2 linked regions of the Callithrix jacchus genome follow. The protein of the gene in region 1 purifies or fractionates together with the protein of each later gene. This does not show direct contact. Links are inferred from orthologs where the notes say so. Each region holds a gene or a part of one and is shown in the gene's direction. Other genes may lie near its edges.

Region 1 (4,334 bases):
CCAGTGGTATTTTTAGTAGAGATGGGGTTTCACCATGTTGGCCAGGCTGGTCTTGAACAACTGGCCTCAAGTGATTCACCTGCCTCCGGCTCCCAAAGTGCTAGGATTACAGGCGTGAGCCAACATGATGGCCTACCATTAATGAGTTTTTGTATATCTCCTTCCACCCCCACAAACTGTCAGGCATGGGGCTTAGTGGGTGGAGGAAAGGCCCAGCAGTATCTGAGTAAGCCCAATCCCTCCCTGCCTCTTCGCGGAAACTAGGGTGCATCCAAACTGCCTCTTCTCAGGCTAGGCAGGACAGCGTGGACTCATCTCTGAACCTTCATGCCTTGGCCTTTGGCTGAAGCCAGGCATAAAAGTTCTAAATCCCACTGGCTCATCACTGTCTCAGGCTGCTCCTAGGTGGACATTCAACAGGTTAGGCAAATCTTAATTAAGATCAGTAAGGAGGCTGGGCATGGTGGCTCACAACTGTAATCTCAGCACTTTGGCAGACTGAGGTGGATGGATACTAGGGGTTCTAGACCAGACTAGGCAACATAGGGAGACCCTGTCTCTAGAAAAAATGCAAAAATTAACCGGGTGTGGTGGTGCGTGCCTATAGTCCTAGCTACTTAGGAGGCTGAGATGGGAAGGATCAATGCCCAGGAGGTCATGGCTGCAGTGAGCCCAGATCCTGCCGCTGCACTCCAGCTTGGGTGACAGAGAAACTCTTGAAACAAAACAAAACAAGTCAACCACCAAACAAACAAAAAAGCACTGAGGGCCAGACAAGGTGACTCATGCCTGTAATCCCAGCACTTTGGGAGGCTGAGGCCAGAGGATCACTTGAGCCCAGGAGGTCCAGACCAACGTGAGAAACATAGCAAGACTCTGTTTCTACAAAAATAAAAATAAAAAAATTAGGCTTGGAAACACAGGTCTGCAGTTACGTGGGAGGCTGAGGTGGGAGCATCAGTGAAGCTTGAGGTCAAGGCTGCAGTGAGCTGTGATCGCATCACTGTACTCCAGCCTGGGTAACAGAGAGAGACCCTGTCTCCAGAAAGGAAAAAAAAAAAAGGCAAAAGTAAAGGATTTTCAATCAATCTTCCTCATTCTCCCTTCACAGAGAAGCAGCTTGGATTGGATGGGACTGTAGGATCTAGAATATGACTGCAGGGCCGGGCACGGTGGCACACGCCTGTAGTCCCGTCTACTTAGGAGGCTGAGGTGGGAGGATCGGTTGAGCCTAGGAGGCGGAGTCTGCACTGAGCTATGATCGAGCCACTACACTCCAGGCTGGGCGACAGAGCCAGATCCCATCGCTAAAATAAAATAAATAAATAAATAAATAAATAAAGCCGGGGGCCATCTTTGCTCCGGGCAGGTCAGCTGACCCGGGCTGGCACAGATCCTGGCGCAGTTCCTGCCCCTCCCGGGAGGGCTGACCCCGCCCCTCTTCCTCGCCCTCTCCCCGCGCCCCCGCCTCCCAGGAAGGGGCGGATCCCCGAGACGGGTGGGGCCGGAGCTCCAAGCTGGTTTGAACAAGCCTTGGGCATGTTTGGCGGGAAGTCGGCTTAGCTCGGCTACCTATGGCCCCAGAGTTTTGTAGTCCCCGCCTTGTTTCTCCCCAGAGGCCTCTCAATCCTCCCTCCATGATCTTCGCATAGAGCACAGTACCCTCTCGCACGGAGGACGAGATGGCTCCCAAGAAACGCCCAGAAACCCAGAAGACCTCCAAGATTGTATTACGCCCCAGGAGCAAGAGGAGCAGGAGTCCCCGGGAGCTGGAGCCCGAGGCCAAGAAGCTCTGTGCGAAGGGCTCCGGTACTGCCTGTGCCTGCTGCTTGAATATTTCCGCCTTTTGGGGTGCTCGCTCAGGAGGCTGCAGCGGGGGATGGGTGCTCCGAGGCTCCCTAGGCCGGCCCAGGTCACGGATGCCTCGGGCTGTGCATTCTACCTGCAGGTCCTTTGACACAAGAAAGTTTAGGCTTCAACACCTGTCCCGCTAGGTGACAGGAAGCAGATGAGCTCCGTAACAACAGATACACGGACTTGTCAGGTTCCTTGTTTATAGCAGGGTTCTTACACGGTTAGGACGGCTTCGGAGAATCCTACCTTTCCTGGCTGTGTGTGTGCTGGATTTCATAGTCACGCTTGTTAGCTGCGCGTCCTAGGTGGTCAGCTGTGAGAGCCCCCAGTCTCTTCCCTCCTTAGAAAGCTCATTCTCTGAGGTTTACTGGGGCTTGAACCTGGGGCTATAAGGAGTTTCGAGACACTCAAAAGACGGGAGTCGGGGCTTTTTAAGTGGTTTTTGTCTATGAGAAGAAAAGAATTGGTTGTTAAGTGGTCAGACCTATAGAGATTGGGTCCTCAAATACAGTTCGGTGATCTGGCGCTGTTGCTTTAATTCCTATTCTAATTTCATTTACCTCCCCAGAAGTAACCTATTTAGCATTTCCAGGCTTTTCTATTCCTTCTTTTCCTAAACAGTGACTTCTGCCATGCTGCCCTGAAATCTTTTTAATCATGCATTATATGTGATTTATAAAATTGTGACTTAGTCCCATCTCGAGTTTTGCAGCCCAAACTGGGAAGAGTTCTTCAGTGTGCTTTATTCTTGTGTGTTTCTGTGACTGGGGTCTCAGGAACCCTGCACAATCTATTTAGTTTCACTTCAGACTTACTGTTTGAGGGAGTGTATTGAGGGAGAGACCAAATCCTCACTAATTTTTTAATTTCTGGTGCTGGGTGAGACCACGTAGACAAGGAAAAGCCTTAGGAGGTGATAAGATGGAGATTAGCCATGCTGAATGAAACAAGGCTTCCTTTTGGGGATTTCAGCAGAAAACCCTTTCGTGAGATTGGAGAGGAAAATATGTCTGTTCTGCTTGGCAGGTCCTAGCAGAAGATGTGACTCAGACTGCCTCTGGGCGGGGCTGGCTGGCCCACAGATCCTGCCACCATGCCGCAGCATTGTCAGGACCCTCCACCAGCATAAGCTGGGCAGAGCTTCCTGGCCATCTGTCCAGCAGGTAAGGCATTTTCTTCCTCAAGCCTTCAAGGATTTGTATGTGCATTTTTACTATTGCATGCTCCCAAGTTAGATGATGACTTGGTTCACCAGCTTGTCAGAGTGGTCCGATCACCCAGACTGGTGACTGGCCTACTGGGCACTCAGCCAGGTAAGAAAGTCTTACGTCGTAAAGGTCCAGCTGGAATGTACTCTGCCCCTGTTGCTTTCCAAGATGATTAGTTTGTGTACATTGCAAATATTTTCATGTACAGGGCAGGCAGTTAGCTTTCCTTTGGTGAGAGGACTTGGCTGTGGGGCTCATCTATGAAGGAGGCAGAGATTGGCATTTACCCAGGACTTGAGTTTTAATTCAACCTAATTCATTTCTTTCTGTGACAGGGGCTCCAGCAGTCCTTTTTGCACACTCTGGATTCTTACCGGATATTACAAAAAGCCGCCCCCTTTGACAGGAGGGCTACATCCTTGGCATGGCACCCGACTCACCCCAGCACCGTGGCTGTGGGTTCCAAAGGGGGAGATATCTTGCTCTGGAATTTTGGCATCAAGGACAAACCCACCTTCATCAAAGGGGTGAGCAATTCCCTGTGCCAGGTAGTGCTAAAGACGTGTTTGTTGGCCGGGTGCAGTGGCTCACGCCTGTTATCCCAGCACTTTGGGAGGCTGAGGCAGGCGGATCACCTGAGCTCTGGAGTTTGAGACCAGCCTGGCCAACATGGTGAAACCCCATCTCTATTAAAAATATGAAAATTAGCTGGGCGTAGTGGCAGGCGCCTGTAATCCCAGCTACTCCAGAGGCTGAGGCAGGAGAATTGCTTGAACCCAGGAGGCAGAGGTTGCAGTGAGCCGAGATCTTGCCATTGCAGTCTAGCCTGGGCAACAAGAGCAAAACTTCATCTGAAAAAAAATAATTATAATAAAATAAAGATAAGGAGTGTTTGTTGAAGGAATGAAAGGGATACTGATGTCATCTAGTAATTGTCAGGAAGAGAACTGGGATCAAAAGTAACTGTGGGCATTTTCAAATACGTAAATGGTGATGATACTCATATATTTTTCTAATGTCTGCCCTTACAATATTAAAAGGTATAGACTATTGATCATCCATAGAATTGAAGCCCCTTCTGGGCCGGGCGTGTTGGCTCACTCCTATAATCCTAGCACTTTGGGAGGCTGAGGTGGGTGGATCATGAGGTTAGGAGATGGAGACCATCCTGGCCAAAGTAGTGAAACCTGGTCTCTATTAAAAACACAAAAAATTAGCTGGGTGTGGTGGCGCACACCTGTAGTCCCAGCTACTCAGGAGGCTGAGGCAGGA
Region 2 (4,529 bases), on another chromosome or scaffold:
CACCCTAAATTATTCCTTCATTCACTCAAAAAGTATTTAGGCACCAATGAGTCAGGCACTGTGTTGGTCACAGGGGATACCATGACGTACAAAAGGGAAGGAACCACAGGCCCTTGAATGGAAGAGTGAGGAATGTGAAAAACAGACATAGAGAGTGGGTGTGGTGGCTCACGCCTATAATCTCAGTGTTTTAGGAGGCCGAGGATGGAGGATTGCTTGTGCCCGGGAACTGGGGGCCAGCCTGCACAACCTAGCGAGACCCCCGTCTCTGACCAAAATTAAAAAATAGGCCGGGCACGGTGGCTCATGCCTATAATCCCAGCACTTTGGGAGGCCGAGGCAGGTGGATCACGAGGTCAAGAGATCGAGACCATGCTGGTCAACAAGGTGAAACATCTCTACTAAAAACACGGCCGGGCGCAGTGGCTCAAGCTTGTAATCCCAGCACTTTGGGAGGCCGAGGTGGGTGGATCAGGAGGTCAAGAGATCGAGACCATCCTGGTCAACATGGTGAAACCCCGTCTCTACTAAAAATACTTTAAAAATTAGCTGGGCATGGTGGCGCGTGCCTGTAATCCCAGGTACTCAGGAGTACCTCAGGAGGCTGAGGCAGGAGAATTGCCTGAACCCAGGAGGCGGAGGTTGTGGTGGGCCGAGACTGTGCCATTGCACTTCAGTCTGGGTAACAGTGAAACTCCGTCTCAAAATAAATAAATAAATAATAATAAAATCAGCTGGGTGTGGTGGGGCGCACCTGTAGTCCGAACTACTTGGGAGGCTGAGGTGGGAGGATCACTTGAGCCCAGGAGTCTGAGGCTGCAATGAGCTGAGATGAGACCATTGCACTCCGGCCTGGAAGATGGAGTGAGATCCTGTCTCAAACAAACAACAAAACCAGACATGAGGGCCAGTGCCGCTGAAGCGTGAATATCAAGGGCTAGAAAAGTAGAGGTCAGGCCAGGGCAGTTCAGGCAGGGCCTTGCAGAGTGTGGTCGGTTGTTTGGATTTTACTGTGAGGGCAGTAACACGACATTTCATTCATTCTGCAACAGCCTTAAGAACTAAGCGTTTTTGGCTAAGCCCGGTGGCTCACGCCTGTAATCTCAGCACTTTGGGAGGCCGAGGCGGGGATCACGAGGTCACGAGAGAGAGGCCATCCTGGCTAACACGGTGAAACCCAGTCTCTACTAAAAATACCAAAGATTAGCCAGACGTGGTGGTGTGCGCCTGTAGTCCCAGCTACTAGCGAGGCTAAGACAGGAGAACTGCTTGAACCCGGCAGGCGGAGGTTGCAGTGAGCTGAGATCGCGCCACTGCATTCCAGCCTGGGCAACAGAGTGAGACTCCGTCTCAAAAAAAAAAAAAAAAAAAGAACTAGGCATTCTTATCTCAATTTTACAGATGAGGACTATCAAGCCGTTAAGTAATTTGTCAAACGTTACCCGCAGGCGTCAGGAGGGGACAAGGTCTGCGAAAACCCGCGAGGGCGTCGGGATCCCTTAGCCAGAAAACCGTCAACCAAGCCAGTGAACTACCTACTCCTGGGACTCCTGGCCCGCCGCGCGCCGCGGGGACACTGAACATGCGCCTCTCACCTTACGGAAGCCGGGAAGGAAGGGGGCGGGGCCGAGGCCGGCGGGCGCGAGGAAAATGGCGGCGGCAGCTGCAGCTGCGAACGGGACCGGAGGGAGCAGCGGGATGGAGGTGGATGCAGCAGGTAACGGGCTGTGTGGGGGTGGCTTCCAGAGACCTCCTTCAGGGGTGCGTTGAGGCCTCCCTGTGCTCCCAGAAGAAGGGAGGAGGGCGGAACAGCAACATCTTTCCCTGGGATAAGTTGCGGGAGGGAAGTGTGGCCGGGCTCCGTCGTCCCCCACTGCCGTCTCCAGGGAAGGACGTGGGGCCCGGACTCTCACCCTCTCTACTTTCCCTCCACCCTTAGTAGTCCCCAGCGTGATGGCCTCCGGAGTGACTGGGAGTGTATCCGTCGCTCTCCATCCCCTTGTCATTCTCAACATCTCAGACCACTGGATCCGCATGCGCTCCCAGGAGGGGCGGCCTGTGCAGGGTGAGTGTTGGGCATAGCCTCCAGTCTCCTCTCCTTGCTTACCTCCCCCAGTCGTCTTTCCCTTTTTTTACTGGAGCCAGTTCCCCCTCCCTCAAGTCATCGTTTCCCCAGTACTTGGCTCCCACTGACCTCAGACCCTTAGGTGATAGAAGTTTCCTTACCCTCACCTTTTCCATGTCATTCTCTTTCCTAGTGATTGGGGCTCTGATTGGGAAGCAGGAGGGCCGAAATATCGAGGTGATGAACTCCTTTGAGCTGCTGTCCCACACGGTGGAAGAGAAGATTATCATTGACAAGGAATATTATTACACCAAGGAAGAGCAGTGTGAGCGGAATAGACGTGGGGAAGAGGAGTGGGAGTTAAAAAAAAAAGTACAGGGTGGGGAAGATGGAGAAGGTTGGAAATAAACAGGAGAGGAGGCCAAGAACAGAGAAGAAAAGGTTAAGAGAATTGCTGGAGAGATCTCAGAAAAAGAACACATTAAGAGTTCTTTCCCAAAAAGAAAGTAAAGGATAAAAGACAGGATAGAAGGGAGTAATTACTCTAAACTGAGCCAGGATTTGAGGAGCGGGGAGAGAAGCTGGTGAAAATACACCAGGAGCTTCACACAGAGGAAAGATGGCTTAAAGTATTACTATGTCAGGCTGGGCATGGACGGTGGCTCACGCCTGTAATCCTAGCACTTTGGGAGACCGAGACAGGCAGATTATGAGGTCAGAAGTTTAAGACTAGCCTGGCCAACATAGTGAAACCCCATCTCTACTAAAAATACAAAAATTAGCCGCATGTGGTGATGTGCATCTGTAGTCCCAGCTACTCAGGAGGCCGAGGCAGGAGAATCGCTTGAACCTGGGAAGCGGAGGTCGTGGTGAGCCAAGATTGCGCCACTGCACTCCAGCCTGGGCAACAGAACAACTCTGTCTCAAAATAATAATAATAATTACTATGTGTTTTGGTCCCTTCCCCTTCAGTTAAACAGGTGTTCAAGGAGCTGGAATTTCTGGGTTGGTATACCACAGGGGGGCCACCTGACCCCTCGGACATCCACGTCCACAAGCAGGTATACATCTCACACCTGTGCATGCTGAAGCAGAGAATGGGGGATGAGGGGAAGGAGAAAGGGGGGCACTGACTTCCTGTGCATCGTCCCTCTCATTCAGGTGTGTGAGATCATTGAGAGCCCCCTCTTTCTGAAGTTGAACCCTATGACCAAGCACACAGATGTAAGTAATATCCCATGCCTACTGTGTCATAATTGTTGCTGTACCTTTTGTTGTGTGACGGTGTATTGGGGAATGCCAAATGCCACTTATCTGCTGTGACTCTGGCTTAGTCATTTAATCTCCAAACTGTGTGAAATGAGGTAATCCCTACTTCATTGGTTTCTAGGGAAAATTAGCTGAGAGGAAATGTGTGAAATCGACTAGCCCCAATGTTGGCAGATAGTATTCAGGTTTCTCCATCTCCTCCACAGCTTCCTGTCAGCGTTTTTGAGTCTGTCATTGATATAATCAACGGAGAGGTAAAACCCTACCCTTCAACCCTCACATCCTGCTCTTGTCCTCTTTCCTGCTTTTGATTCTCCCTTTGTGGGTTACCTTGCCCTGTAGGCCACAATGCTGTTTGCTGAGCTGACCTACACTCTGGCCACAGAGGAAGCGGAACGCATTGGTGTAGACCACGTGGCCCGAATGACAGCAACAGGCAGTGGAGAGAACTCCACCGGTAACGGAGGGGATTCCTTGGAAGTGGGGGTGGAATGTGTGGCCACATCCTGTCCCAACCTCCTCCTGTCTCCATCCCCTTGCAGTGGCTGAACACCTGATAGCACAGCACAGTGCCATCAAGATGCTGCACAGCCGCGTCAAGCTCATCTTGGAGTACGTCAAGGCCTCTGAAGCAGGTAGGTCAAGGGCTTCCCTGACACTTCCCTGGGGTTCTTCCTCTCCCTTCTGGGGAAGTGACAGCATCCAAATTAATGCAGCCTCTTTTTGTGCCTTTAGGAGAGGTCCCCTTTAATCATGAGATCCTGCGGGAGGCCTATGCTCTGTGTCATTGCCTCCCAGTGCTCAGCACAGACAAGTTCAAGACAGACTTTTATGATGTGAGTGTAAAACCCAGATGGGGAGGTGGGGCTTATGCTGTCACTTTCACATGCAGGACTGGGGACTGTTGTTCCCTGGGCATGCCACAAGAGATCCCCTGAAGAACTGGTCCTTTATGTTCCCTCCCAGCAATGCAATGATGTGGGGCTCATGGCCTACCTCGGCACCATCACTAAAACGTGCAACACCATGAACCAGTTTGTGAACAAGTTCAACGTCCTCTACGACCGACAAGGCATTGGCAGGCGAATGCGCGGGCTCTTTTTCTGATGCGGGTACTTGAAGGGATGATGGACAGGGGTCAGGCAACTGTCCCAAAGCGGGGGGGCACTAGAAACCGCTGTCATTTATTAATAAA

The links.
Region 2: the proteins of DDB2 (region 1) and COPS6 purify together in Homo sapiens (affinity purification with mass spectrometry; 8 studies listed by BioGRID and IntAct, counting the BioPlex papers as one, with this or other methods). This does not show direct contact. The link is inferred for Callithrix jacchus from reciprocal best matches to the Homo sapiens genes DDB2 and COPS6.

Annotation. Positions count from the first base shown.
Region 1 is NC_133511.1:112,267,762-112,272,095, forward strand, and holds the start of DDB2 (DNA damage-binding protein 2), read left to right. Parts: upstream 1-1,496; 5' UTR 1,497-1,682; coding exon 1,683-1,809; intron 1,810-2,880; coding exon 2,881-3,017; intron 3,018-3,397; coding exon 3,398-3,589; intron 3,590-4,334.
Region 2 is NC_133503.1:13,493,082-13,497,610, reverse strand, and holds the start of COPS6 (COP9 signalosome complex subunit 6), read left to right. Parts: upstream 1-1,637; 5' UTR 1,638-1,650; coding exon 1,651-1,717; intron 1,718-1,939; coding exon 1,940-2,065; intron 2,066-2,258; coding exon 2,259-2,390; intron 2,391-3,037; coding exon 3,038-3,126; intron 3,127-3,226; coding exon 3,227-3,289; intron 3,290-3,540; coding exon 3,541-3,588; intron 3,589-3,676; coding exon 3,677-3,791; intron 3,792-3,876; coding exon 3,877-3,969; intron 3,970-4,069; coding exon 4,070-4,170; intron 4,171-4,300; coding exon 4,301-4,441; 3' UTR 4,442-4,529. UniProt on the Homo sapiens protein: Component of the COP9 signalosome complex (CSN), a complex involved in various cellular and developmental processes.